Linked DNA regions of Oryzias latipes. The protein of the gene in region 7 binds, or shares a complex with, the protein of the main gene of each other region. Links are inferred from orthologs where the notes say so. Each region holds a gene or a part of one and is shown on either strand. Other genes may lie near its edges. The genes, in order: tada2a, kansl3, dr1, phf20, KAT8 regulatory NSL complex subunit 1, kat14 and wdr5.

Region 1 (4,207 bases), on a different chromosome or scaffold from region 7:
ACTTGTGGGCATGTGGTGTGAATGCTGCAGCCAGGAACAAAAAAGGAAGCTCACTCTGGCTCAACACACAACAGCAAACCGTTACACAAAAAGGAGAAGTCTCTCCTCATAGGTGAATAAATCATGACCCTCTCAAAGGATGATTACAAGCTAGTATGACGGTGAGCTGGAAATTCCTCCAAAAGAGTAAGAGTGTGCGTGCATCTCCTTAACATACACAGACTATCGTTAAAAACCGTGTCTCTCCCTAGAGGCTCCAGAGATGAGTCGCAGGCTAGGATGCTACCGAACAGACCAATCAGGATGTATTGAACTCACAGAGAAGGCTCAAGCAAGCTGGAACAGAGCAGCCCATTCAGAGTTAACCCATCATGTGGTTTAGGAAGCTGCCCTCATCCTCTGTGGGGATTTGCAGTCTAAATATATTTGCTCTGAATCACCTCAAAGAAAGAAGGAATCAGATTTTCTGGTATCAATGACAGAAATGCAAATATTAGAATAAAAACTGTCATAATTAGTAACTGCAGAGAGGTTAAGAGGTTTCATGAAAATCAAACAGTCCTTTTTCCAGCCACATCTGTACTAAATCAGTCATTTCACTCAAATACTTATTTTTTCTACCTTTAAGTGAGTTTGGCACATGTGGATTTGCAGTTTTATGCATTAGGGTTTCAGATATTTGTTTTCCTAAGGCTCCTCATGGGCCCTCACTGGCATGCTCTTGAGGGTGTTTGAGCTGTTTTTGAATTGGGGGTGCCAAACCTGGACACAGGCACTGGAAAACATTGGTACTCATAAATATTTGCTGGTTTTCATATTAAAGAAAATGTCTTGAAGCCTTTTGCAGGCCAGGCAGCACCTCTGCAAAAAGTTTATGGAGGACAAAAAGCAGCATGGGGGTGTTGTGACACAGAACATTCATCATCTTTATTTCTATTTCTCACATGATGCTTATGCAAGCCTCAGGTAATCATCTGTGCTGGGAGGGAGACAAAGGCTTTCAGGGTGCTCATTGTTGCCTTAAGAGACATAGAGCAAGATCAGCACCTTGTGGCAATATAGGGAAGTACTGTCGTCATGGTGATGAGATGGAGAAACTAAAAACAAGTTAAAATCTCTCCCCATTGCAAAATAAATGTAAAACAAAAATCTTAAGAGAAGGAAAAGAAAGTTAAAGATGAAATACCTTTTTATAAAAATCATTTTGCATTAAAATGCAATATTCCATGTGGCTTTTTTATATATTTCATACATTTTTTTAAACAACATTTGTTTTCTGTTCAAATTTTTGAGTTTCTTCTGCCTTTGTAAGAACCTATGAGGACATGGCACACAACTATTAAAACATAATAGTATATATATCATTTTGTGTGGTGATACACGACCAAAACTATCGATATTCGGAGCTCGATTAGTTATGACGTCATCAGGCACATAGCCGAGTTCTGAAAAACAGATCGACCCAAATTCAATTTTGGTGTTGTTATTGAGAAGCAAATAGCAATTAAATGGACCGAATAGCGTCTTTTTCAGGTACGTATTGGCATTATTATACACACAGTTGAATTTATTGCAGTTTTACCAAGTATCCATCGACTTTTTGGAAGGTTAGCTGTTTTTGTCCATAAAGCAAGGTCTGCTAAGCTATCTTTAGCATTAGCATCGCCGTCAAAAACAATGCTATTTTTGTTTGCCGCAGTGATTTGTTGAAAATATTCGACCTGTTGTTGAGACATTCAACATTATCATCATTTTCAAGCTCGACTAGTAAAGCTAGTCCTTCGCCCAAGATAACATCTGTTTTGTGCATTCAAGTTTGCCCCAAAATCACGACTTTAGGCTATATGTATCTTTTTTAACTGCGTGTTGTTACTATTAAAACTGTTACTGATAATATATATATAATTATTCTGTTCATTTTAGATGACCCCTTTGATAAACCGCCTTGCAGAGGCTGCTCATCCCATCTAACCGAACCATACATCAAGTGCGCAGAATGTGGACCTTCACCTTTTTTGTTGTGTCTTCAGGTAAGCCAGATGAGGATGCTTATAATTTGTTTGTTTTGGCTCTTTAGAATGTGTGTTTGAACACAAACCGAATAACTCAGCTGTAACTTTACGCAGACAGACCACAGTTTAAACACTTTGGACAAAACCTTACGATTTTTTTTTTTAGCCCAGTATTTCCTTGTTGTTGTTGCAAAACTTCTTGGCAATAAATGTTAGACTTCTGCAAAATTAGTTTGCTTTATATTTTAAATGAGTCCATATTTGTGAGGAACGCGCATTTGTGCAATGAGCAGCAGAAGGTATGCAAGGTTTTCCAAATAGCCAAACTGCTTTTATTTCTGTAGCCATTGATTGACCCTTATTTTTGGAACTTCTGGAGGTTTCCACATCAGTGCCCGCCCAGCACTGATCGCCTTCCACAGATTTCTAACTACTATACCTGATTTGAGAAAAAAAATTCAAATGAAAGAACATGATGCCATCCCACGGCAGTGTATAATAAAGAGGTGTCAGGGTGTTCCGTCCAGTTCTTTCATGTTCCACTGATTATCCTGTTTCTTAACAATTGTTTTATTTATTTTTTACATTGCCAATACCATATATCTTCCAATAGTGGCTGGTCTTCAATTAATGTCAGGGCTATTATTGGAGGATATACGGTAAGTCTTACATCCATTATTAAATAATATATTTATTGCCTTAGAAACATTATTACATTTGAGAAAAAATCATGTAGCACAAATTAAAATACTTTTGCACTCTGAATTTTGAATTTGTTCAAATAGCATTAGATCGTATTGCTAAACCAAATAATGTTTTGTATGTATGTTCTTTATTATGAGTGTTAAGTGTTACATTTTCTAGGGTTTTCTATTGTTACAAATATTCTATGATAGATACAATTTTATTAAAAATTAAAATAATTGACATATTTAATTTTGTATCTATAAAATATATCAACTATATATTAATAAGTACAGTTTTTAAATATAGTATTACATTCTGTAGTAAAAGGGTATTAAAAGTACATTACAATGTTGTTGATCACATTTCTAAATGTGTTTCTTAAAAAGTGACGCTTTATTATAGTTTTATAGCACACTGATATTATGAAATCTTTTAAAATTATTTAAAAGGATGAAGTCAAATTGTGTCTAACCTGGTTTAATACTGTGCTTTCTCACACACCTGTGTTGAATACAAATTCTTTTGTTAGTTACTTCCAAAAATGCACTTGTTTTTTCTTTCTAGATTAGAACTTTGTTATTTTGCAAAATGATTTCCTTCACTGTTAAATTAATGGGGAAATAAATGACCAGATCTTTACGATTGGGTTTATTTGAAAAATAAGCCACATTATAACTGCTGCTTCTTTCATGGTCGTCATATCGATACAATTTATGAATTCACTTAATTTGCATGTAAGTTTTACTTTTCTCAGTTAAGAAAACCTCCTCAGTGCATTCAAAGAACTTTTATTTAATGAACAAATCGTGTCTTTTACCTGACCAGCTTTACCCTGAACTTATTTCGTTCCAGTGTTTTACCAGAGGATTTGAATACAAGAAGCATCAGAGTGATCACAGATATGAAATCATGGTGAGTGGAGCTGCAGTTGAGTTTCTCGGGTGTAGCTAAACATCATGTTTAGCGGGCATCTTTTGTGTTACCTCGACTCAGACTTCAGACTTCCCGGTGCTGGAGCCTGGATGGACGGCGCAGGAGGAGATGGCTCTGCTGGAGGCAGTCATGGATTGCGGGTTTGGGAACTGGTAAGAGGTCGAAGACATTTTACCAGTGTTTTCTTTTTGAATACACTTATTTTTACTAACTTCAAAAAGCAAGTTTTTAATGTTTTATCATTTAGCTATTTATCATTGGTGTCATGTTAGTTTCATTGTCTTTTGGTTTCAAAATGTGACAATTTTTACAAGTCATTTCTGCTGTTTAATGGAAATCTCACATTAATTATTTAAAAAAGAAGATTGGTGAAAATATTATTTAACAGTGGTTATATTGTTTTTTAATTTAAGTGTAATTTAGTTACTGCCTCGAAGTTTGGGGAAAAGCATATTCTGTCCATATATATAAAGCCTTTGTTTCATTTACAGAAAAAAGCAATTAGTATAATCAACAAAAAGGCAGCAGAGAATTCACTAATAATTTAATTGATTTTTTAAAAACTTTATTATTCA
Region 2 (4,136 bases), on a different chromosome or scaffold from region 7:
CATCAGAGAAACCTGAAATGCAACAGCAGCAAATTAAAGAATGTACTGAATTCAGATTTTAAATAACTTCCAAGTCTTACATGACAAGCAATGAGAGCGCCGGCGTTCCAGCCAACCAGCACGATGGGCTTGTGGGGGAAGTGACTGTGAACCTGTTGGCAAAAGTAGCAGCACATGAATAAAGCTGCCGAAGGCAGACATCAATTTTTATTAAAAGATACGTTTGTATTGCAAATACAATCCATATGGTACTTTCATTTTAACTTCACTAATATTTTTGGTTGGAAAAACTTGAATGTTTCTTATTATATAAACTTAATGTCTTTAAGATAAATCCTGTTTTTGATGAATTGCTAAGAAAGCAACCAAACATAGAAAAAAAAATACAGTAAGATTTTTTTCCACATGCCTATTAAAAACAAAAAAGCTGCACTCAAATTGATTAATTTTACAATCAATCATAAAGATCCCCTACCTCCATGACCTTTGCCCTTACAGTCCCAAGCATGTGCTCCAAACACTGAGTGATGCTAATACTGGCTCCACTGTTTACGTGAGTGTGCACTGGGATCACCTGCAACACAATCATTTGTTGTTGTTTTAGCAATTGACACCAATAATCCGAATATCACAAAGACTTCAATGTGTTTCAGACCTTTCCCAAGCAGGAGAGCTGGGACTGCCAGAACCTCATCCGCCGTGTTGTGGCAAGAGCCGGATTGGATGGGGTTGACGGGGCAATAAGGATGAGAGGAGATCCTGGAAGCTTACTCTGAAACAATCAAAAACAGACAGGGATACAGATTGTGCAATCAGAATTTGCTGAGGTAAACACAAAAGTCATACAATGCTATTGTCACACCAGGAACTGAGGTCTGAGGCTTTTACCGGTTTGTTTTGAGAGAGAACCCCGACAGCCGGATCCCATGGACGTTTCAGTAGCAGCGACAGAGCCTCTGCACTTGGAGCTCCAGTTTTTGCAGTCGGAAGTAACATTCTGTCTATCAACGATGGCAGCTTTGCATGTGTAGAAAAAAATGTATTATTAAGATGGAAATCCATCAAAAAAAAAACTTTTTTTTTGTCCAGTCACTAAGATCATACCTTGGTTTTGAGAGTCTGCAACACATCAAGGTAGGCAGCGAGCATCGGCAAGCTTAAAGATTCGATCAGAGTGGTGTGTAACCACTGTGTCAGTTTGGTGTCCCAGTTCATACTGGCGAGTGCTTGTCGAACTTTCCTGGCACACTTGTCCACAGCAATCCTTCTTAAAATGGGTTCATTGGAAGCCTAAAGGGAAAAGGGCAATACAAGTAACAAGTAATCAATTTCATTCAAAATAAATATTTTTGCAGAAATTCTCTCTTTTAATTTAATCTCACTGACTACAGAGAAAAAAAACCTATTCTCAATTTAGGTAATTTTTTAAAATCTAAAACAGGAGAAAAGCATATATTACTTTGCTGTCTAATCGTTGACTAAGTTTACAATAAATATAAACAATACACCAGCTTTTAGATTTTTTACCTCTATGTATAAAAAAGAATCATTAAGAAAAACAAATCAAAGAAAAGAGACTTTCATCAAATACATTACATCTTCATTGGCGAGACGTGCTAATCTCTCAGCTTGTAGAGCTTTCAGGACTTTATTAAACAATTTGTTTTGTGCCACCGACCATCCTGTCCTGAAATACCACAAAACATAAAGTCAAATTGAAATCACTGCAACTGATGTTCATGGTGTTGGTTTTATGTGAGTTTATTATCTTTTACTTGTTTATATGTTCCTCCCAGTCATCTGGGGGTGGGGGGCTCTCAGCAACTGTTCGAGCAAACAGAACATGTCGCTCGCACTCCTTCATCACACCAAGAGCTTTATGGTTATCATACAAAGGAACTGGGGAGGGTGTGACCGTCTCCACATCTATCAGGGAATCAGAGTCTCTGCAAAACAGAAAACATGGTATAGATGTAAAACATAAAAATAGTTGAGCAAAAAAATCCATTTGTCCTACCCAGCTGATAAAAAAAAAAAAGTCTTATTTCATTAAGCATTCAAACTCACAATGATGGCTCAGGCTGGCGACGGGGGGCAACAAAAAGCGTCCGTGTGGGGCGTGCGCTGCTGGCATCTGGGTGAGCATTCCACGGTTTGGCATAGCTGTGGTCTAGAAACACCAAATCCAGCTCTCTCTCATGAGCCGACAGCTGGAAAAGCAAGGATGTACTCATCTTGTGAGCTGATGTCTGCAACTCTTTGTCCACACGATGCATCCTCTTCCTGGGCCCTGAAGGGCCCAAGGAAAAAAAACAACAACCCTGCAGTCAGAGAAAACTGACGGGAAAAAGAAAATTTTGTTTTACTTCATACACAGAGATCTGTTATATTTACCATCTAGAAAACTTACATTCAACAAAAGTAACTTCAAATTAGGTATCAAACAGTTGTGATCACACACATTAATGCATGAAAGTTACTTATTTGTAGCTTTCGTGAAGTCAAAATCTAAAGTTAAAGAGTAAAGGCGTATTCGGCGCGGTAAGCAAAACTAGAATGCTAACATTAGCACAACTAGCTCTGACAGCCAGGCAATGACGTTATCGCCTTTTCCCCCAGATTACCTGTTCCTTTGACTATTCCATGCTGACCATTGGAGTCTGAATTTATTTTTTAATCGAAAAAAATAAATAAAAAAATAATGGAAACGGGGAATTTGTTAATAAACGAGAGTAAGCTATCACCACAATGTTACAAGCGTCAAGCCCTCACTTCCTCCTGTTGTGTGGTTTGTTGCCAAGTTTATCTCCTTATCCTTCTCTTTGGAGAGGACAAAAGAAACATCATGGCATGGCTGTATTTCAACGAAACTGGCAACCCAGCAAGTAAGGCGCGTCAGTGTGAGACTCGCAAAATACGAACTGGATCTTCGGATTTTTGATTACCAGTACGTTGAAATTAGGATTCATAATTAATAGGAGCATGTCCAATTTGAATTATGTGTAAAGTTTTTACATTTAGTATTTTTGTGTATGTCACGCAGTGTACAAGCACTAAATCAATCACGGACCCCACTGTCAAAGTACCAACTTGCTGCTTCAAAGTTTTTCAACGTCAGAATCAAATGAAGGCTTTCTGTGAAATAAAAAGAGAAAAGTGAGATTTCTGTAAAAAGGCAAGGCCCCTATCAATACAGGGATCGTTTCATATCCACAGACAAACATTTCAAGAAGACATTCCTGTCATTGTAGGGGCCTAGGTCTACTGAAGTCAAATGTTAGTTGTTGGTTAAAAAGGTTATCAACATCAATAGAAATTTGTTCAGACTTGAAGTGATGGAAAACACTAAATAGATAAAGTAGTCTGCTTTGGGTATTATGTTAGCTCCGTAAAACCTATGAAATTTCTCAAAACATGATGTCCATTCTTCTCTTTTTATATTGAGCAGCTACATTATTGACTTTTGTGATTCCTGTGCACAACACTTTTAAAAATCCAAGGTATATTAGGCTTTTTCCCCCACAGTTAAATCCACCATTTTCTTCACCGTCTTGTTTGTGTTCAAGTGACAGTAGATGATGCACCACATCACAGGGCAGTAAAATAACAACAGTCAATGGTTTTTGCAGCCGTACGAACAATGTTAACAGAACAAACTGCTTTACAACTTTAAAAATATGCAGTTTGTTTGTGTTTAAAACAATTTAGTGTTTATTCAGCCAGTCTTGAATCTTTCAATCTGCCAAGAAGACACATGATAAGCAGAACAGCTTAGCTGTTTTTACACAGCCATAACAGGATGCTCACCGTTGCTCCTTTTTTTTTTTTCCAAATGTGTGTTTTAAAAAGTTAAATGGACACCCTTTCTTTTAAAAAACTGTTATTTTGTTATATTGATATTGTTCCTCTTTGGAAGTAAAAAAAAATCACTTATCAATACCAAAAACCGCATGAGAAACTTTGACGACACTTCTGTTTTCTTTATTTTCTTGACAAGCCACTGAATAAACAAAACACATCCCGTCATGGGAGATACAACTGCCACCGTGAAAATAAAGTTTAAAATGTATAATTTTTGGGGAAAAACAGCTGTTGCAACATTGTGTTGAAACAAACAAGAATACCACTTCTGCTGG
Region 3 (4,249 bases), on a different chromosome or scaffold from region 7:
AAAAAACCCAGGGGAATATAAATTTAATGAAAAACTTCGCAAACAGCCTTTCCATTTTTACCATTTTCCGGTAAAAACGCTTCTTTGAATGTGCATGTGGGGCCGTTTCTCCCCTCGCATCCCTTTCTTTAGCTTTCTAAATTTCAAGTACACAAACATGTTTTAAGTCCCTGTTCATGGCAAAACTGAGATTTGTGTACCAAAACTTTCCTAACGTTAAATTCAAACACAGTAAAGTGGGTCGCGGGGGGGGGTCACATTTCGTCCTCTTCGTCTTCATCCTGAGAAGAGCCCGCCTGCTGGGCAACGCTTGCAGATGCTGCTGCCATCTGTGCCTGCTGGGCAGCCTGCTGCATCTGCAGCCACTCCTGCTGTTCAAGCTCCGCCTGCTGCTGCCGCGCCTGCAGAAGACGCACATTCTATCATGAGTGCTTGACACAATGTGGCACTTCAGGTTTACCCATTCAAGCTCATGGCAACCTGCAGTGAGTCCGGCCGGTTACTGCAGAAATAATAGTTTTTGGTAATTTTTTAAATATATACCGTACATGTAACTTCTCAAAAAGGTTTATCTTGTGTTGTTGGATATTTATTAAATGAATATCAAATACAACGCAGCAAATCAAACAAAGCAATACATAGGAACAAAATGTTTTTTTTAAAGGAATGTGAACAAAATACATCTCTCTGACCTTAAAGACCCACTCAAATAAAAATCATGCTTTTGGTGTTTTTAACATGTTCTTGTAGCATTTTTCTAGCTTACAGCCCCTCAAACCCCCAACCTAACTTTACCAGTGCGACAAAAATGATAAGCAATATTGGATTTCCAGCTGTATAGCTGAGTCGGAAGCCTGTTAAGACGAGGAAAAAGACGTACATGGATGCATTTGTCTGCAAGAGGATGTATCAGAATGGAGCAGAGAGGGAAGCTTGTGGCCCGCCGATTGTAGCTTTTTCCACACAGCATTTTGTCGTTTGCTCCTGACTCAGAACTATTTGAATGAAGAAATGCTCAGAAATGTAATATGAAGCTTGTTTTTCTTATGATACGTCTTCCATCATCAGAAAAATGCCACAAGAAGATTTTAGAAAACACCAAAAACATGATATTTTATTTGAGTGGGTCTTTAAAGTAAAAAACCTTTAGCAAAAACACACCATGGCCTGTCAGTTAAAGCTGAAAGGGCCACATTAACTTACTTTGAATGAGCAGAGAGTGCTTTGTTTCAGGACAATCAGCATAACTCAAAGAGGAAGTTACATTCAGGTTGATTTAAATGTGTATGCCTATATGATATTTGAAATTGTTTTGTGTGTACATGTCTTCATTTCTACAATACTTGACAGGAAAAGATTTTTTTTCATCTTAAATACTTCCTCTATGAGCTTAGTTAAGTATTTTCTATTAAAACACCTAAATTTGTTTGCATCCAATCTTAAAGGGGATTGATATCCTTAAATGGAATGACCAGTTTAGAAACTTTTGAAAATGTTAACAAAACCAAGCCCTTCTGTACCTCAAATGAAAAGTACAAGTTGTGTGCCCGTGTTCATCATGATCTGTAGGTTAATATTATTGTGGGTGTTCAAGCCACATTTGAAGGTGCAGTTTTCTGAGATCAGACCTTGGCAAATAACTCCTGCTGCTGCCTCAAGAGTTCCTCCTCCGGAATGCCCAGGTTTTCCAGTCGAGAGCTGGCCTTCCTCCTCTTAAGAGCAACCGTTTTGCACTCCTGCAGCACGTCTTTCACCTCTGTGATGTACGAGCCGAAACCAAGGCTCTCGAGGGCTGTGGTGCAGAAACACGAGGTTGAAACTACACTTTCTATGATGTGAAGCTTGCAGGAGGATCCGTGCTCCTTTGCATCCCCCCCCCCCCCACACACACACACACACCCACCCACATAAAGGACGAGCGATATTTAAAGAGGTGGTAAATACATGTAAATGAGAACCAACCGTTAATGACATGCTCTGGAGATATGGTCTTCTTGTCGGATTTGTTACAGATCTCATTCGCCTCGGAGGAAATAAGATGGATGAACTCTGTGCAGCAATTGACCACAAGCTCCCTGGCATCGTTGGCCACCCGTACGTTAGGCAAAGTTTCTTTGATCATTTTGTTGATAGCTGCTCTCGGTATGGTGAGGTCGTCGTCATTTCCAGACGAGGAAGCCATAGTGATGAAAAAAGGGGGGAAAGGAACAGAATAGTGGAACTCCGCTTCTTCGAGAAGATTTATCACGCGTTCACTGTCTTCTCTATGTCCATGTTACAGTAGACAGATAACGGTTCAAGAAAATATCGATGGAAATGTTGCCAAGCGAGCTAGTCTAAGTTAGCCCACTGGCTAGCTTACCAACCAAATGTCAAACAATGAGCAGGTTCTGTTGCTTGAGCGGCGCTCCTATATCGTATTTAATCGGCGAATAAATGTCCAAGATTGCTCTGAAGCTTACAGTAAAAAAAGGGAGGGGGAAGAAAAATTATATCCTTATATCCGTCGTCCGTGGCGAAACTGAGACGCAGCACACAAGTCCAATGAAAGCGGAGAGCATGGCTAAGCTAAGCTAACAATTAAGCGCAGATGAAGCGGAGCTGTTTGCTTTACGAAGCGCAAGAATTATAGTCAGTTCTACTCGTAAATAATTGGAGTATTTATATGTAAGTCCTGAACTTGACCAAAATTTGATTGCAGATGTTTTGTTTAGGTTTATAATTTGGAGTTGTGTACTGTACAAACATTAGCTGAAATGTGTCCGGTTACGACGTCAGACAAAGGGCGTTTTTGATTGGCTCCGAGTGTGCGCTATAACAATTTCCGGTGCCCACCAGGATGGAGTCGGGTGGTACAACAAATGATTGGAAATTGTTCCGCAGGGAGCTACAGATGTAATTATCTTTTTTTTCTTTCGTTACAAAACCAAACTATTATCTCTGATTTTTCTAAGATTGCCTACTTTTGGAAATATATTTATTTTAAATGAAGAAAAAAAAAGTATGTATCTACAAATGCATTGTTTTTAGCAGTTGTAACATTAATATTAAGAATAATTTGATTCATATAATTTGTGGTTGCTGATATGATTCATAGTTAATTTTAGATCATAGTGAACCAGTAAATTTATTACGATTCACTGACCTTATTTTGATCCAGAACATCTTCAGCCAAATATTCAACCAATGTGGCTCAGAGATAAATACCTGGGTACTAACAGTGCAAGGTGAAGTTTTTCCACATTCCTTGTATTTCTTTCAAGATAATCAAGTGTAAATTAAATATGTGTACAAACAAGCCAGTAATCAAGTACCAATGTCAAATCCATTCACATTTTAGTTTCATAAAGTTTTGCCTACTGTTGTTTTTCCACATAAAAAATAATACAAATGGAACATTATCAGAACATTCTACCACACTGTTTGGTCACGTCTTTGCTAAATCAAAAGTGTTTTGCTGTCATCTCGTGTGTGTGTGTGTTGTCCACTGTGATGCACGTGGTCATTTTTAAGTTACAGTAAAATAAACCTACAATGCCTCAATCCAAATGGTATTTTTCAGTAAAGATTATAGTCAATTTAATTTTGAAATGATCTTATGGTATTTATCGATTTGATTAACAACTTGTCTCAGACTTTGATCTGGATAAATAAATTAATTAAGTGTTACATCCCTACTATTCTTTGTTTTATCTGACTTAGAGTTGCCCCGTTGCCATGTGTGAACATTTTGTTTTTAAGTTATATTTACACTTCCAAAAAGTGTAAATATACATTAAATCAAGTTCTACCTGTAGAACTTGATCTAATGTAATTTCTAAAGACAAACATTTCAAAATGCCAAACAGTAGTTTCTCTCACAATGATCTTTATTTAGTGGCATAGAAAAATTAATAAAGAAATAGAACTTCCTTTGAAATTATGATAAATATTGTTGTTAGTGTTAGTTAATTCGTTTAAATAATAATTTTGGATTTTTTAACAGAAGCTAGCCAGCTTATTGAGAGCAACAGAAAAATATAACTGGGAACAATTTTACAATAGATCAAAAGATGGTAGAAGTGGGATTTAAACATGTTTAAAGTGAATTTTAATTAACACAGTGGAATTCGCCACTGTGTTAACTGTTTAAGCAGTTCTCATGCATCAAAATTTACACACTTCTCAAACCTTTTTTATTTAAGATTGCCTTCAAATACATATACTCTCTCAATTCAAATACTACTTCTGTAGAAGGCTTTTCAAAATG
Region 4 (3,500 bases), on a different chromosome or scaffold from region 7:
AGTGTTTGTTCTGTTGTTTTGGTGAAGTTTTATTTAAATAAAGAAGATGGACATCTGTAAATATACATTTGAAGAAATGCTTTACAATTTCTTTTGTTTATGTCAAAGAAACATTGATCACCATCAGAATAAGAAATATGCACGGAAATATGTTATCTTTTCGATCAATCTCATCCGTGCCGTCTCTCCTGTACAGAATGTGCTCAGTTTGCCAAATCTAAATAAATCTTGAATCCCGAGTAAATCTTTTTTATTCTATAATATTAGATTAATTTTTCTAAGGAGGTTTGAACTTTGAGAGTTTAAGCACGAGAAAAGTGTGAAAATGTCCACGTCTGTCTGAGAAAAGTGTTTAAAGAGGAGTGTAGGATTAAAGATAATTTACAGCCTTAAAACATCTGTATTCCTACTTTGCAAATGTCACTTATTTTGGGTTATTTTTAGAACATAACCCCTGTGATAAATGACAAAACACTGTATTCATCAAATGCCTTTTTTCATATTTTCTCTAGTATTTTCAGTTATAAGTCGTGGGATTCTCAATGGAGTTTTTATTTATTTATTTATTTTTACCAAATCCACAGATTTAAGGCTGGTTAATCCAGGTTTGGTCTAATAGAATAAGTCTATGTAACCATTGAAAGAAAAAAAGGGGCTCACCAAACATGTTTTAACCCCGTGTTGACCTTTCTTCTGGTTTTTACAGACTCGACTGTGGGGGGTGCAGCTCATCGTGGTGATGTGAAGACTGCTGGCAGGCGCACATCCGCACCACCTGCAGTAAGCACGCATGGTCAACAGCAGAGGGCGCTGCTGAGGGAGAAGAGCAAAGAGAACCAGCTGGACAGGATCAGCTGCCAGCTGCAGGACTCAGACAAGGGTGGCTTTGACTTTGGTCAGTATGATGCTGGGTGTCATTTTTATTTAAATAAAAAAGGATTCCTTTTTTTTATTTTGTTTATACATATTTCATGCTGTTCATCGTTGGTTTGACCTCGTACGATACACTTCTATTCAAGTACCAGTGGAATTATCTTGGCTTTACTTGGATTGGGCTTAATTCTTCTCACTCAATGGTCTCCAGGGTCTGTAAAAGACAAAACTAAGGAGAAACCAAAACAGAAGGACTTCCTCCGCATTAAACTCAAGAAGAAGAAGAAGAAAAAGAAAGCCAAGTCTGGTAAGAACCAGGTCCCTGGCACAGGGCGAGGTCGAAAAGCTGCTGCCCTGCATGTGCTCTGGCTGTGACATTGTGTGCAAAGTTAAAGCACCTCATTCACTCCTTTCTGTGTGCTGATCGAGCTTCTGTGTGTGTCCTGCTGGTCTGAGTCTTCAAGAAGCCACAGTTTATTTTAGAACCTAAGTTTTGGTAATAATAAGAGTTGTTTTGCCGCTCGAATGCAGACTAATCAAGAAGAAAATACTTTTTTCTGTCTCTTATTGGCATCCACTCACACACATACATATTTGAAGGGTTGACATGGACATTGTTGTACATCCTGCCTGGCTTCCTTTGGCCGGAGGCTTGATGAATTTGTGTTATATCCTCCTGACAAAGTTTGTCATCTGTAGAGGACACTTCTAAACCTGAATATCTCCCAACCCCTGCATACTACTGAATTAACTCACTATAATATCTACAGAGAACATTTGGGGATTTTCAATGATGTGAAGGGGTGGGGCTCTGGGATTTTTAGTTTTATTGGATTTAAAAATGTTTTAGAGGACACGTTTTGAAGGAAGTTTTTAATCAAATGTTTGTTGTCACGTTTTCCTCCTGGGCGCTGAGCATTTTCAAAGCTTACTTCTCTGTTCTACATCTGCTTCCCCCCTCCCTGTGTTAACAGACCACACAGGTAGTGAGGAGAATATTGACATTTCAGTATTGGGTCTTCACTCCAAATTGAATTTGCAACTCAAACCCCCCCTCTCACACAATCACAAACCCGAGGCCTACCCCAGCAGGCCTGGACACAGCTTCTCTGAGCAGATACATGTGGATGGTGGGTACCTTTGTGACGGTGTGAGAGTCTGTGTGTGTGTGTTAGTTTGTGCAGATTGTGTCTTTCTGTGAACGTCTTTGGCTCCTCTTGTTACGTTCTTCTGTTTTCTCTGGATTCAGTCCACCATGTGACAAATCTTCCTCCACCTTAAAACAAATGCTGCCGCTCCCATAGGAAGGCATGGTGGGCTGAAGCCTGAGCTGCTTGCTGCTCCTGCTTGCTTAATCACATAAATCAGATTTTATTTAGAGCTCACTTTTTTTTAACAGAGTTTTCAATCGGGTTAAACTGAATCCTTTTGTGTTGGTTCCTGTAGACGAGGACAGCATAAGTGACTGGTCCACTGACAGCTGCGGGTGGAGCGATGATGACTTCGACATGGATTTGGACGTCACTACTCCACCTCTTAGCACAGACTCTGGTGCCGTGGACACAAACGATCAAGAAATTGTCCGATGTATCTGTGAAGTGGAGGAAGAGAATGACTTCATGATTCAGGTGAGCTGGCAGTTTACTTTTCCAAAGGTTTGCTTTAAGGGACACGGCCTTTCAGTTGGTGAAATATGTTTCTCCTGTGTTAGTGTGAAGATTGTTTGTGCTGGCAGCACGGCACCTGCATGGGTCTGCTGGAGGACAACGTCCCGGACAGATACACATGCTACATCTGCAGAGACCCTCCAGGTAAACGAAGGAAGAACAAAGCAGTGGTAGCATGCCTTAAGTCATATTTGCTTTTTTTAATTTATTTTTTTAAATCCAGTTTAAATGCTTACAGGGTGGCCCCGGATCCTTGATGAAATCTTTTAAGGTCTTAGATTTAATTGACCAAAATAAGGCCATCTAAAATATTAAGTTGTCGTGAATGGTCTTAAATTTTTTTCTGGTCAACGCGATGCGACTTCCTGTCTTTAAAAAAAACTTTTTAGGATGTGCTGTGTCAGTAAGGTCGTGAACTGGTCATGAATCATTTAACCTCAACTACCTAGTTCTCTCACGCTTAGAAAGTGGAGAAATGGGGGTTACTCTTAGTGGTTAAAACTGGTTAGTAGTGAACTGTGATTTGCTAAAAGACATTTAAACTTGGAACAATGCGGTCATTTCGCATGTGTAGAGGAAACGGCTAGCTCTGGCTGTTTGCTTCATTCAAAGTGCTTATTATGAATGCATCAGGGCAAGATTTGGCCAATTGTCCCGGCCATCTGGGTATCGTGATGATGTCTTTTAAAAATTTGTATATTTTTATAGCATTATTTTTATTTTTCATCAATTGCTGTGAATATAATGCTAAGTTCACATGTAGCAAAGATGCTAAAAACTTTTGGCGATGGCTCCTCCCACATGCGTCAAGGCATCCACCAGGTTTATGGACACACTTTTGGACGAGTGTCAGGCAGTGAATTTGACGAACACAATGTCAATTCACTGCTCAAATGGAAGACACAGAAGGATGATGTTGAGAAATCCTATTTATTGTGAAGAGCTCCACGAAAGTGTCTG
Region 5 (3,489 bases), on a different chromosome or scaffold from region 7:
AGGGTGGAGAAGCTGCAATACAAAGAGATTCTCACACCCAGGTAGGTGCAAATGCCCCCCCGTGATCTGCCCCTTCCACCTGTTGTTTCATTTGGACCAAACTCTCATGGCTCTTGTTTTGTCAGTTGGCGCTCGGCGGACATTTTCTCACAATCCATAACTGAGGAGGAGAACGAGCGCGAGGTAAAGCTCCATTCTTTTTGTCACCGTGGCGATGCTTAGATCGCATGTTTCTGTGCAGCAGACTGACGTTGCATTGTTAAAACACTGAGACCCACTCATCTGAAAAGGCTGTTTTTGGGTTTTTTAAATTTGTTTTAGTAACATTTTTCTGCTGATGGAGAAAATTAAAATTGCATTTCTGAGTATTTCTTCATTCAGATCGGCGTGAATCAGGAGTGAATTGTTATTTGAAAAAGGTTGTATGCATGGCGTAGGAAATACGCTGGGCGGGGCAAAGGCTCCCCGCTCCGCTCCATTCTGATGCATCTGCTTGTAGACAAATGGATCCATTTATGTCTGAGCTGGCATCTGCAATAATAGATGGCTCCATCATTGCTCGCCATTTGGGAAGCTCTTCCTGAAACAAACGGCTGATAGATCTGATGTCATGCTGTGATGCAGGTGGAGGACCTCTCGGATGCAGCCTTCATTCAGCTCCATCAGCCCTACGAGGACCAGGAGCGCAGCCGCTGGACCTGGATGGCGCTGGCTCCTGCCAAACGGAGGGGCAGCAGGTGAAAACGCACAGGCTCCAGTGTCCGTGTGTTTCGTGGTAGGGGGGAGTTTCTGAAGCCCGCCTTTGTTTCCCTCAGGTCATATAAGTCTGTGGATGGGCGCACCACACCGCTGCTGTGTGGCACCAACCCTCCCACCCCCCAGCCTGCATCCCCAGACCCCGGCCCGTACCCCCTGCTCCACGACTACAGTCATGTGCCGTCTCCCATGAGTCCGCCCAGCCCCGACACCTCCTCCAACCCCCAGACCCCGTGCTCAAGGGACTCCCACCGGCTGCTGTCCAACGAGGACACGCGATGCTCAACGCCAGATTTCACCTTTGAAGAGCGGGTATGTGGCCCGATCGACCGCCGCCTCCGTTTGTCTGATTCTAGTGGCACAAAATCTGGTTTTAAATCTTTAAATAAACAACTGAGCAGCTGCTTTTACACAACCATGAGCTGAACAAGCTGAACGGTTTCACAGCGTTCATCAGACCGAGGAGACCCAGTCAGAGCAAAGTTCTGAAATCTTCTCCACTCTGATGGTCTGGATGAGAGCTGGGAATCTCTGGAAGAGCAAAAACAAACCGATTTTTGCTTTAAACTAGGTCACCACAGAAATATTTCCTGCTGTCCCACACAGTTTCCTTCAAAATGTTCATCAAACCTCAGGTTTTAATTCTTTTGTTTTTTTCCTGAGGTCTAAGAATAAAGATCACAGCCGATGCTCAGGTCGAGTCAGCAGTTCCACTGCAGTTGAATCAGAGCTGGTGCAGGTAGTTGATTACAGCTGTAACGAGTATCCGGATACTCAAATACTCCCCAGCTGTTCCTGAAAATTCAATTATAAATATTAGCAATGTCCCACATAACTGATCTTTATAAATATACAATAGTTAAAAGTAGACTCCATAAAATGTAATTAAAGCTCTAAAATGCAGACTGTTGGATTTGAAGTTTATAAATCAAAACCAGAAGCTTCTCTTTTTCTAAGTAAAGCTAACGAGTGTTTTCCGTAGAGATCAGTTAACTGAAAGAAGTTCAAAAAATGTTTTAAATATATAAAGAAAAAACAGAGTAAAATAGAATACAAATATGATGAATATAATTTTAAGAATATTATATAAACCTTATGTTGGAATCAGTTTGTAAAACATGTCTGTTGAAAACCCTGTGAGCGTTTTTTAGTGTTGCATTTTTATTCAGGTGTTTCTACATTGTGTCAAATATCTACTGGAACTGTAGTCAACAAAACTTGAAAACTGGAAATTGAAGAGAGTGTTCAGGATTAGGTCTAAAATGATCCTAAACAACAGTGCTGGTTATGTTTTGTTTACTGATGAGGTCAACCAGGAAGTTCACAGAAAACCTTGAGACTGTTTAAAGTGATACATACTATGGTTTCTCCTTAATCTGTTTTTATCTGTTCTGTTTTGTTGATTTTGGTCTCCTCTTCTAGAGATAGAAGATAGATTTTACCTCTGCACACCCTCTCCACGGGGTGGGGAGGGTGTGGAGCCGCTTCGTCGGGCCCTCCAGTTTAAATACATTTTCATAGATCCAGTAATTCATCCATAGAGCAACAGATGGGATCGTGCTTTGATCTATGGATCACTGATCCTGATTTGTCAACGAGATCACCACCTTGATAACGATCCCTGTGTTGATGGCGTGTGCTGGTCGACACGTCAAAGTTCTACATGAACCCCTAACTCTGTCCTGAATAGAAGTCTAAATGATTCTGATTGGATCGTCACTGAAGGATTTATGTTTCAACTCTCTTAAAGCTTCAAAGTTGTTCATTTGATCCTCTTGTTTTCCAACCAGACGGTCGCGCCGTGGGAGCGCCGCAGCTTCCCCCTGCCAGAAGACCCGGCACCAGAGCCCGAGGCGGAGCCCGACCACATCAGGCCCAGAATGCGCAGCATCTCAGGTTGCCGAGCAACAGCTTGTGGACGCCTGGACTCAGACGACATGGAGCTGCTGTGTGACGACGACAGCAGCTTCAAACAGCGGGCCTCCACCCACCGATGAGCGCAGAGCCGAGGGAGGTGGCTCCGCCTACTCCTCCTCGCCGCTGCGCAGCTCCTCTCTGGCATTAACAAGCAGAACCTCAAAGCAGAATAAGATATATATATATATAATGGGTTCCTGTTGTTTGATATTCAAACATCAGTCTAATACTTTCACAGTTTTTAGTGAACATTATGAAGATAGCCTTTCCCCACACTTGTTTTTGTCACAGCAAAAAATATAAATGTAAAAAAAAAGTATAAAACAACACATTACAAAAAAGAAGTTCTGTAGTAAGCTAAACAATGTACATGGGGGGGGGGGGGGGGGGGGGGGGGGGGGGGCGGGCTTAGTGGTGTTTCATATGTCGCGTGTACATTTGTAGCGCACTATGTAGCGGACTCCTCAAAAGATGGCCAAAGGGTGTTTTCTATAGTTTGCTTGTGATTCCCATGTACATTTTTAGTGGAGTGACGAATAACAAAAGAGAAAAAAAAGCCCCCACCTCTCCTTCCACCCCCTCTCAAACAGGTACATTTGGAAATTGGGTCCCCCCCCCCCCCCTGCCGCCACCACCTCTAGGGGTCACCTAAGATCACCAGAGCACTTCCCACAGTCCAGTCTAGTTGAGCTGGTTTGTCGTCTTTCTGTTCTGCATTCCTGACTCGTTCTGTTTGTCGTTTCGCCTTTTCCAGAGCAACACAACCTTTGTGTGTTTGAACCGTCACAATCATTCCTTCAGCATCTGCGCAGACGT
Region 6 (4,143 bases), on a different chromosome or scaffold from region 7:
TTAGTAATATTGCATTTCTGTTGTTTACAGAGAAGACAGTTGGGGTCAATAGTCTTCTTCTATCTGATCATGTATTGATTATGGGATGGATTCTATGTAGGAGTCTGTAGTAGACGTCTCTCATGATATTGATTCATCATTTCTGATGCAGGGTCCAAACAGTTTTCCAGAGCGAGTCAGGAAGACGTTTCCTCCAATAGAAGACAGCAGAGGAACAGAAATGACGTTTAGCTGAAACATTATTTGGTTGAAACTGGAAGTAAGTCATTTTGCAGGGGCGACAGTGGCTCAGGTGGTTGAGCGGGTCGTCCAATGATTGAAGGGTTGGCGGTTCGATCCCCGCTCCCACCAGCCAAAATGTCGTTGTGTCCTTGGGCAAGACACTTCACCCTCCTTGCCTCCAGTGTGGCTCCACTGGTGTGTGAATGCACATGTATGATCCCGGTGATGGTCAGAGGGGCCGTAGGCGCGAAAGCCACACCTCTGTCAGTCTGCCCCAGGGCAGCTGTGGCTACAACTGTAGCTACCATCACCAAGTATGAATGAGGAGTGAATGAATAATGGACACAATGTAAGAACTTTGGGTGTCTTGAAAAGCGCAGATAAATCCAATCCATTATTATTATTATTATTATTTTCTCAGATGACGTCACGTCGCACGCGCTCAGTCCGGTTGTCTGGCCGCTGGGAGCCTAAAGGGCAGAGTCCTGCTGTCAGAGGCAGAGGGAATCCCTCCACTCACCTACTCTGCTTTATCTCTGTATGCCGACGGTCAACCACTAAAATCTGTTTACAAGTTTTATTTAACTTTAATTGGAAAAAACGTGTACATTATTTAAAAAAATCAGTTTTAATGAACTCATATGACAATGGAGGACTAAACTTTCTGGATTTAAAACACTAAATAACACATGGATCAACTGGATCAAATCTTACCTAAAAAAAACTACAACAAATTTGGAATATACTTCCACATTTAATATTTTCAAATATTTATGGCTATCATAAAAAAAACCTAGACTCAATTAAAAAACTAATAATTATATTATATTTGGCAAATTTGATATTCATAAATGTAAATTCTCTTCAACTTCTATTTTTTCCCCGTGTTAATCAGAGTAAAATGTCTCTCAATTCCATCTCTTAAAGTCTTAACCAGTGAATGTCAGTATGAACGCTGTAGAAACTTGAATGTTTTTATGTAAAATGCATGTAATATTCATGCTCTCCTGGCACATTTAAAATTTATCTTGTAAAATTGTGTTTGTACAATAAAGTTTTTAAAAAAAGTCTGGCCGCTGCGCTCCCGGCCGCTGGGGGCGCTGCGTCGCAGCTCAGCGGTCAGCCGCGCAGAGGAAGAGCGGGACGCGGCAGCTGCAGCGGGCTCGCGCTGAGTTGAACCCTCCGTGATGTCTGTGACCTCCAAAGTGGTTCTGGGAGTTTCTGTGGTTCTGACTCTGAGCACCGTGGCGACTGTGCACCTGAAACAGGCCTGGGACCGAGAGGTGAGCCGGTCCAACACCCGGTAGCGTTGAGGCTAACGGCTTACCCGGTTTAAGGCCATAAGCATCAGCGTGCCGTCTGCGGACGCTGCTGACGCTGATGCCAAAACGTCTGTCCGTCAAGTTATCCAGAGCTTCCGGTTTACACTCTCAAAAATAAAAGTTCAACAGAAGCAGAGTTCTCTTAAATTTAGTTTTCTGTTTATGTTTGGACTGTTATGGTTGTGATAAACATTAATGTAAATATATGCTGACTGACCTCGGGACCTCCCCCCGGACTTCCGGTTGAGTGGACTTCAGTGCTGATTTTCTGGTTTTGAAGTTAAACGCGTTTTATTGTGTCAGTTCCTGTTATTATCAGAGTGTTTCAGGATTTTAGTAGAATCCCTTCCAAAAACGAACCTGAGGGATTCGAACCGACCTCCTACTCCAGGGATGCCCACACGTTTGTGAGTTATTTTTGAGACGTCGAGCTCCTAAAGTTCTGGACCGGGACCACCAACCCTGCTTCAGTAGATGCTGGTTAGAATCAGGCCTGTTTCTGATTGGCAGAACACACCTGATCCAGGTAGCCCACCAGGAGAGGGCCGGCTGACCCTCTTCCTGGACTGACGGTCGTCTGGAATCGTGGAGGGCTGGTTGGAGCGTTCGACACCATAAATCGTAGAAAAAAAAGATTCAAATATTAAATTCAGGCTTTCCGGTAATTCAATAAAAGTGATAGAATTCAGGTCAAATAGAATGCCCATTGTCTGTCCACGGGGGTCCACAGGGGTCCATGCTAGGGCCCTGTCTGTTGTTCCATAAATGACAGTTTCCTGTTCTTTTCATTCAGACGGATGCTGATCACAACATTTGGATTATCTTGGGATTTATTAGACATTTTAACCTTAAATCATTGTAACCGTGTCACATTTCCTTTGACTAACTTTAATTTTATTTGGGCTCATTTGTTGCTAACATGGTTCTGTCACATGTTAGAACCGGTCCCAGACCAACCAAAGCACCAAACACAAACAGTTCAAGTACGGCATTTTACGACACAAACTCTGTTTTCTAAAATGCTGGGCGGTTCGTGGGGCCGTCCACTCCACCTGTTTGTCCAAAGAAGAACTGGGGGGGACCGGCTCTGAACACCACAGACCCGCCTACATGCCCCCCCCATCTATCAGAACTTTCATGGGGGCTTCCATCAGTTTCACTCCTGGGACTTTGTTGTAAATCATCCTTAGTGACGTTTTTAGAAAGAGGATCAAACGTCTGGTTGGGATCAGAACAGCCGCTGGACTGATTCTGGACTCTAATCTGCAGACAGAACTCTAGAACTCAAACCGCATGCAGCTCCTGATCTGCAGGAGGAACGTTAGAACACAGAACCTTCTTGTTCTGGACCCAGTTCTGGCTATGACAGGATGCGTTCTGGATGCAGACTTGCAGCCGCTGCAGTGGAGGAATTTGAACCGGGACTGGACCCGGTTCTACACTAGAACATGAGGGGTCCAGGGATCACTGCTCTCCTGTTAATGCCGGCGTCTCGTGCCGCGAGCAGCCAGCGGCCAATAGGTGTCGTTTTCACTGACTCCTCCCCTCTGCTCCGGCGTCTGCAGCGCCTCCACCAGGGTGTCGTTCGGGATCTGGAGCGGCTGGAGAGGAAGAAGGAGAACCTGCGGTTGCTGGAGCAGCAGAAGGTCCTGACCCGACACCTGGAGGAGGAGCGGCGGCGTGCTGAGGCCAGGCTCCGCCCACAGGACACGTGAGGCAGGTATGTTTTGTGAAACGGAGAGAGTGGAGGCTGTGAGGGGACGTGAGCTCACGCCGCTGCACCGACAGGACCGGCCCACAGGTGGCGCTGCGGCTGAGGGCGGACATGGACAGCAGCGGCGAGCCCCTGGCGGCGGACGAGGTGACGTGCACGTCGGCGTCAGAGGGGCTGGAGGAGGGGGAGGTGGAGGGGGAGACTCTGCTGATCGTGGAGTCGGAGGATCAGGGTTCGGTGGACCTGTCCCACGACCAGAGCGGGGACTCGCTGACCAGCGACCTGGGGGAGGAGGGGGAGGGCGGCTGGGCCTGCGAGGACATGTCCTTCTACTGCGAGCGCTGTCACAAGTGGACCCCTGCAGGTGAGCCCATCACCACAGGGGGCGTGGCCAAATCCTGCTCCCTAAGCCTAGCTGCATGCAGCGTTGCCATGGCGATGGGGGCTCTAACGGGTGTCTGTTGCAGCTCAGCTCCGAGGAGAACAGCCCAGCTACCTGAAAGGAGACAACTTCTTCAAGTTCACCTGCTGCAGCTGCTCCGAGGACGGCAAGGAGAGCTTTGAGAGGATGCGGCTCACCTGGCAGCAGGTACACCCCCGAAACCCCGCTGAGGGAGGGGGCGGGGCTGAACAGGTGTGTGTTTGACAGGTGGTGATGTTGGCCATGTACAACCTGTCCCTGGAGGGGACGGGCCGGCAGGGCTACTTCCGCTGGAAGGAGGACATCTGCGCCTTCATCGGCCGGCACTGGAACTTCCTGCTGGGAACCAGGTGAGCCCCCGCCGGCCGGGCGCCGCACAGGTGAGCCCCCGCCGGCCGGGCCCACCTGTGCGGCTCCGCACAGGTGGGCCCCCGCCGGCGCTGACCCGGTCTCTCTGCAGGAAG
Region 7 (4,014 bases):
TTTTACCCAGATGTCATTACTTAGGAAATTAAAAAGGGGAAATATACTAAATTAAAGGGTAAACAAGAATAAGTGCCAAAAAAATACGTTTTGGCTCCTAGAACAAGTGCAGAACCTTCTTACCGAGTTGACATCCCAGATTTTCAGGGTTTTGTCGTCTGATGCAGACACCAGCAGGTTGGAATCAGAGGACCAGGCCACATCAGAGATGCCCTGCAGGATCATGGGAAATAGTTCAGACACATAAGAAGGAGAAGGGCGCTTCTAAAATCTATTCCTCCCACAGGAAATCCAGAGAACATATCAGAGCAATATCAGAGTACAGTTTTACTCACAAGTTTGTGTCCAGATATGGTTTTCTCAAACTTGCCATCATACGCTCCCCAGATCTTGATGAGTTTATCAGCAGCTGGAACAAGAGAACATCAGTCAAATCTATGAATTACTGTCATCACATCAATTATGAAGCCAACACTACACACAAATGTAACACAGCATACAAATTGATCCAAATGACAAGTTTAATACATCTGATAAACAGAAAACTATATTTACTAGATTAGAACATTCTACGTTTAATTCTAATTTGGTTCTAGTTTTCTCTGATTATTTCTCCTTGACAAGTTCATTTTGGGGCTGGGGGCCTCAGTGAATGTTAACTTCTTAGTTCAACGTGTTCCCCACCTCCACAGCACAGAGGCACAGTGACGTATGTTAGTTGGATGGATTATGGGATATTGGAGCATCAGTGAACAGCACTTTATAAGTTTCTATTTTTTGGTTTTCCCAACAAAACTAAACACTGTTGGTTCAGAAAATAAATCATCATCAGTTTCAGCATGAAACTGTCACACTTTACCATCTTTAGCTGATATCTGTCAGTTTATATCCTCGAATTCCAACATTATTCTGCTGATTTAGAGTGATAATTACAATGCGTGAAGTTTATTTGTACTATATTCTACTATATTTATAAAGACAACAAATATGCCCAAACATTGTTCTTGAAAAGATAGAAAGATTTCCAAGTATTTGGATGCTGGTTACAGCCCTGGCATTGTCTTACCCTTTCACCCACCTATTTCATCTCTGAGACTAACTCTGGAGGCGGATCGGAGAATGGAACAAAATATGACACCATGGTGAAATGGGCCTTTTAAAGTCCAACGTCAGGGCAAAAAGCCAAAGGGGCAGAAAGGAATAACACTACTAAAGTGGCTTTAGTAAAAAAATATATATGTACATAACTACTTCACATGTTTTGTTCTAACAATTAATCCGAAAAATCATTTGAAATAAACTCAAGATTCCTAAATGTTTGTTTTTTTTCTCTCTCTTTTTTTTTTTACTTGTCCTGTCCAACAGCTGGGCAGGTAGATGAGAGCTGACGGCCTCTTGTTTAGATTCCTAAATGTTAACATTTTGTAAACTCTACATAGTTTTTTTTTTTCATTGAGTAAACTCCCTTTGAACAGGGTCAACATCAACCAATATAATGGTTTCATGTTGAGTACATTTTGAGACATTCATTGCTTAAAAGCCACACAGAGGAGGATGAACTCACATGAGCTGGCGAGCCATTCTCCACTTGGACTGAATTTGACAGAAGACACGGCTTTGGTGTGTCCTGCTAACGTGAACTTCAGGCTGTAGTTTGGCTTTGCAGGCGCAGACTGTGGGGGGGCACATTTAATGCCATTGGTAAGATAGAAAAGAAGTACATATCAACTCTGCTAAAACAAAAACCAAAATGCATTGTTCACCATTTAATCTTGTATTAATTGGAAAACAAAAGAAACAATTGATGCAAAGCTGCAGTTGCACAAGAACACGGCCCAGAGTACTCAGTCATTTTCTTATATCCAGACCTTGCTTTGGCTTGCAGATGCTGACTGCACAACTGGAGGTTTTGTGTCAGTCTCTGGTTTCTTGTCTTCGGTTGCCATCATGAAAAAAATAGCATCTACTGAGCACTGCAAGGAGACAGAAGAGCACACAAGTATTTCAAATTACATGCTTGCACAGCCCCTTCGTCAAATTTATTATACTCTCGTTTATAGTTTAACGTGTTGTAGAAATATTTTGTTTATTAAAAGGTAAAGTTGATGCATACAATTGCAATGTAGATTGTATAGCCGTATTGGCTAAATTAAGCGTTTACAAATTAGCTCGATGGCTAAAAATTTTAGCTAGCTCAGTTAGCTTCGGTACGCTGACGTATAAAAACTCTTTTTTCTTAACTGGCAAAACAAAAACATCGCGAAGTGGCATTTGATGTACATTAAAGTCAGCTTCCACATTTTTAACGTCAAAATGTTTACCATAAAGAAATAATAGGTGAAAACAGCATCATATAACAAAAGCGACGCGGAATACCTTCCTTTGGCGCAACTTCAGACAGACTTTATATATTTGTACTTGAAAAAAAGACGCGTTGCATGTTCAAATGGATATGAAATAGACGTTAAAAAATATAAAGTGCTAGATGTTCAGGAAAACTATCAGCACTATGTACATGCGGTCACTTGTTTTTAGCTATTGACAACCTGCCACAAAAGCGGCCCTCTACTCCTCAGACAATGAAGATTTACGCAAACGCTCATACTTACAGAAACGTTTTACAGATTCACCTCCAGATTTTTTTCCTCCACCGAAGAAAACACGATTAAAACCAGTCTGTTTTTTCGTAATATGATCCTAAACTTACAAAAAACTAATCTACCTGCCTCCTTGTATACGTTTGGCTGCGAGAAAACCAACGAAGAAACGAGGGAATGTAGTGTGCCAGTGCAATGCGCAGGCGCGTCACACACAGAAGTAACGGAAACCTGTGAGGATCAAGTATCGATGGCACGAGTTAGAATAAACGTCACAAAATGCAGTTTTCCCTTAAGACGTAAACATTTTGCAATTAATATTTCAATTTACCAGAAAAAAAGTTAAGTGAAGCAAAATATATAATTCTCTTTTGATAATAGTATTATCAAAAGAAAAATATGTCAGTGCAAAATATTTGCGTTTTTTGCCAAATGAAAACAGTGGACACTCCAGAACACTAGATGGCAGTATTCCCCTTTGACTTCTGGGCTGACGTGCCCAGACAAATAGACACGAATTGAATTGCCAGCCATGTAGGTGCAGCAGGTCGGGAGAGGAAGTTAGCAGATGGTGACTGACTTCGCCGTGGAGGTACTTGAAGCGCATACTTTTCTGTTCAAGCTTCGGTGTAAAGTTTTACTGTTTTTGAAGAGGAGCATTGCTTGAACTTTTATTCCAATTTAACAATACGAGTTGGTAAACAACTTGCCGCTACCCTCCCTTCCCGTTAGATGATGATCGGAGTTTTTTCTCGAAACGGATTAAAAAGAAAACTTAGGTGATTTTTTTAAATTGCTTAAATACCTGATATATATTATGACTAGTTAAAATAAAAAAGTCAGACTTTTTTTTCAATAACATTTTATAGCAGCATTTTTAGGTGTTGCAGAGTTAAAGAAATAAAGGATTTTCGTTCACCACCAGGCAAGAAAAACATTTCATTTGTGCACAGACTAGCTAATTATGATAGCTAACACGTTGGACGTTTCTTGACCTCGAAGAAAATATTGGTATTCATTTGCATTGTCTCTTCAGGAAGTCTGTGTGGTTTGACAAATAATTTTTTACAATAGTTGTTGGAAGTAACGTTTTGGGGACTACGCCTCCATCTGCTAGGATACAAAGCCCTTATTTAACTGAGTAAAACTTTGAGAGTTCGTGCACACGTGAAGCATTTCAGTATCCAGTAGAAGGCATTCCTCGCGCGTGTCCAACAACAACAGGGGTTCTTGTGGGTTAAAGTGATAAAACACGCGGTTTTTGTCACGTCCGCCCACTTCCGCCTGGCACGTTCTGCAGTTCTTAAAGACCCTTTCTGAGGAATGTGAAGGAGGGAATCTGCTGCAGTGGTTTTGGTTTGCTTTCATGGAGCTGTAGCTTCCCATGTTTACATTTTTAAGTTGGTTAATTACTCCA

What was found.
Region 1: wdr5 (region 7) and tada2a share a complex: the UniProt entries of both Homo sapiens proteins name them as parts of the ADA2A-containing complex. The link is inferred for Oryzias latipes from reciprocal best matches to the Homo sapiens genes WDR5 and TADA2A.
Region 2: wdr5 (region 7) and kansl3 share a complex: the UniProt entries of both Homo sapiens proteins name them as parts of the NSL complex. The link is inferred for Oryzias latipes from reciprocal best matches to the Homo sapiens genes WDR5 and KANSL3.
Region 3: wdr5 (region 7) and dr1 share a complex: the UniProt entries of both Homo sapiens proteins name them as parts of the ADA2A-containing complex. The link is inferred for Oryzias latipes from reciprocal best matches to the Homo sapiens genes WDR5 and DR1.
Region 4: wdr5 (region 7) and phf20 share a complex: the UniProt entries of both Homo sapiens proteins name them as parts of the NSL complex. The link is inferred for Oryzias latipes from reciprocal best matches to the Homo sapiens genes WDR5 and PHF20.
Region 5: wdr5 (region 7) and KAT8 regulatory NSL complex subunit 1 share a complex: the UniProt entries of both Homo sapiens proteins name them as parts of the NSL complex. The link is inferred for Oryzias latipes from reciprocal best matches to the Homo sapiens genes WDR5 and KANSL1.
Region 6: wdr5 (region 7) and kat14 share a complex: the UniProt entries of both Homo sapiens proteins name them as parts of the ADA2A-containing complex. The link is inferred for Oryzias latipes from reciprocal best matches to the Homo sapiens genes WDR5 and KAT14.

The regions. Positions count from the first base shown.
Region 1 is NC_019871.2:10,133,050-10,137,256, forward strand, and holds the start of tada2a (transcriptional adapter 2-alpha), read left to right. Parts: upstream 1-1,407; 5' UTR 1,408-1,508; coding exon 1,509-1,533; intron 1,534-1,923; coding exon 1,924-2,030; intron 2,031-3,551; coding exon 3,552-3,611; intron 3,612-3,692; coding exon 3,693-3,784; intron 3,785-4,207. UniProt on the Homo sapiens protein: Component of the ATAC complex, a complex with histone acetyltransferase activity on histones H3 and H4. Required for the function of some acidic activation domains, which activate transcription from a distant site. Binds double-stranded DNA.
Region 2 is NC_019867.2:17,071,567-17,075,702, forward strand, and holds the start of kansl3 (KAT8 regulatory NSL complex subunit 3), read right to left. Parts: upstream 2,801-4,136; 5' UTR 2,625-2,800; intron 2,338-2,624; exon of another isoform or gene 2,291-2,337; 5' UTR 2,277-2,290; coding exon 2,068-2,276; intron 1,947-2,067; coding exon 1,776-1,946; intron 1,688-1,775; coding exon 1,597-1,687; intron 1,291-1,596; coding exon 1,105-1,290; intron 1,018-1,104; coding exon 889-1,017; intron 773-888; coding exon 656-772; intron 575-655; coding exon 476-574; intron 153-475; coding exon 81-152; intron 13-80; coding exon 1-12. UniProt on the Homo sapiens protein: Non-catalytic component of the NSL histone acetyltransferase complex, a multiprotein complex that mediates histone H4 acetylation at 'Lys-5'- and 'Lys-8' (H4K5ac and H4K8ac) at transcription start sites and promotes transcription initiation.
Region 3 is NC_019862.2:24,028,850-24,033,098, forward strand, and holds the start of dr1 (protein Dr1), read right to left. Parts: upstream 2,801-4,249; 5' UTR 2,183-2,800; coding exon 1,963-2,182; intron 1,793-1,962; coding exon 1,629-1,792; intron 402-1,628; coding exon 255-401; 3' UTR 1-254. UniProt on the Homo sapiens protein: The association of the DR1/DRAP1 heterodimer with TBP results in a functional repression of both activated and basal transcription of class II genes.
Region 4 is NC_019863.2:26,153,538-26,157,037, forward strand, and holds part of phf20 (PHD finger protein 20), read left to right. Parts: intron 1-706; coding exon 707-895; intron 896-1,084; coding exon 1,085-1,180; intron 1,181-1,847; coding exon 1,848-2,003; intron 2,004-2,319; coding exon 2,320-2,501; intron 2,502-2,584; coding exon 2,585-2,684; intron 2,685-3,500. UniProt on the Homo sapiens protein: Methyllysine-binding protein, component of the MOF histone acetyltransferase protein complex.
Region 5 is NC_019877.2:19,788,183-19,791,671, reverse strand, and holds the end of KAT8 regulatory NSL complex subunit 1, read left to right. Parts: coding exon 1-41; intron 42-125; coding exon 126-183; intron 184-624; coding exon 625-737; intron 738-815; coding exon 816-1,068; intron 1,069-2,546; coding exon 2,547-2,753; 3' UTR 2,754-2,989; downstream 2,990-3,489. UniProt on the Homo sapiens protein: Non-catalytic component of the NSL histone acetyltransferase complex, a multiprotein complex that mediates histone H4 acetylation at 'Lys-5'- and 'Lys-8' (H4K5ac and H4K8ac) at transcription start sites and promotes transcription initiation.
Region 6 is NC_019859.2:454,268-458,410, reverse strand, and holds the start of kat14 (cysteine-rich protein 2-binding protein), read left to right. Parts: upstream 1-1,343; 5' UTR 1,344-1,505; intron 1,506-3,109; 5' UTR 3,110-3,264; intron 3,265-3,332; 5' UTR 3,333-3,369; coding exon 3,370-3,622; intron 3,623-3,725; coding exon 3,726-3,847; intron 3,848-3,907; coding exon 3,908-4,029; intron 4,030-4,139; coding exon 4,140-4,143. UniProt on the Homo sapiens protein: Component of the ATAC complex, a complex with histone acetyltransferase activity on histones H3 and H4. May function as a scaffold for the ATAC complex to promote ATAC complex stability. Has also weak histone acetyltransferase activity toward histone H4.
Region 7 is NC_019870.2:23,025,019-23,029,032, forward strand, and holds the start of wdr5 (WD repeat-containing protein 5), read right to left. Parts: upstream 2,801-4,014; 5' UTR 2,610-2,800; intron 1,974-2,609; 5' UTR 1,950-1,973; coding exon 1,869-1,949; intron 1,674-1,868; coding exon 1,565-1,673; intron 410-1,564; coding exon 336-409; intron 214-335; coding exon 124-213; intron 1-123. Other genes in the region: bromodomain-containing protein 3, read left to right, coding at 3,166-3,189.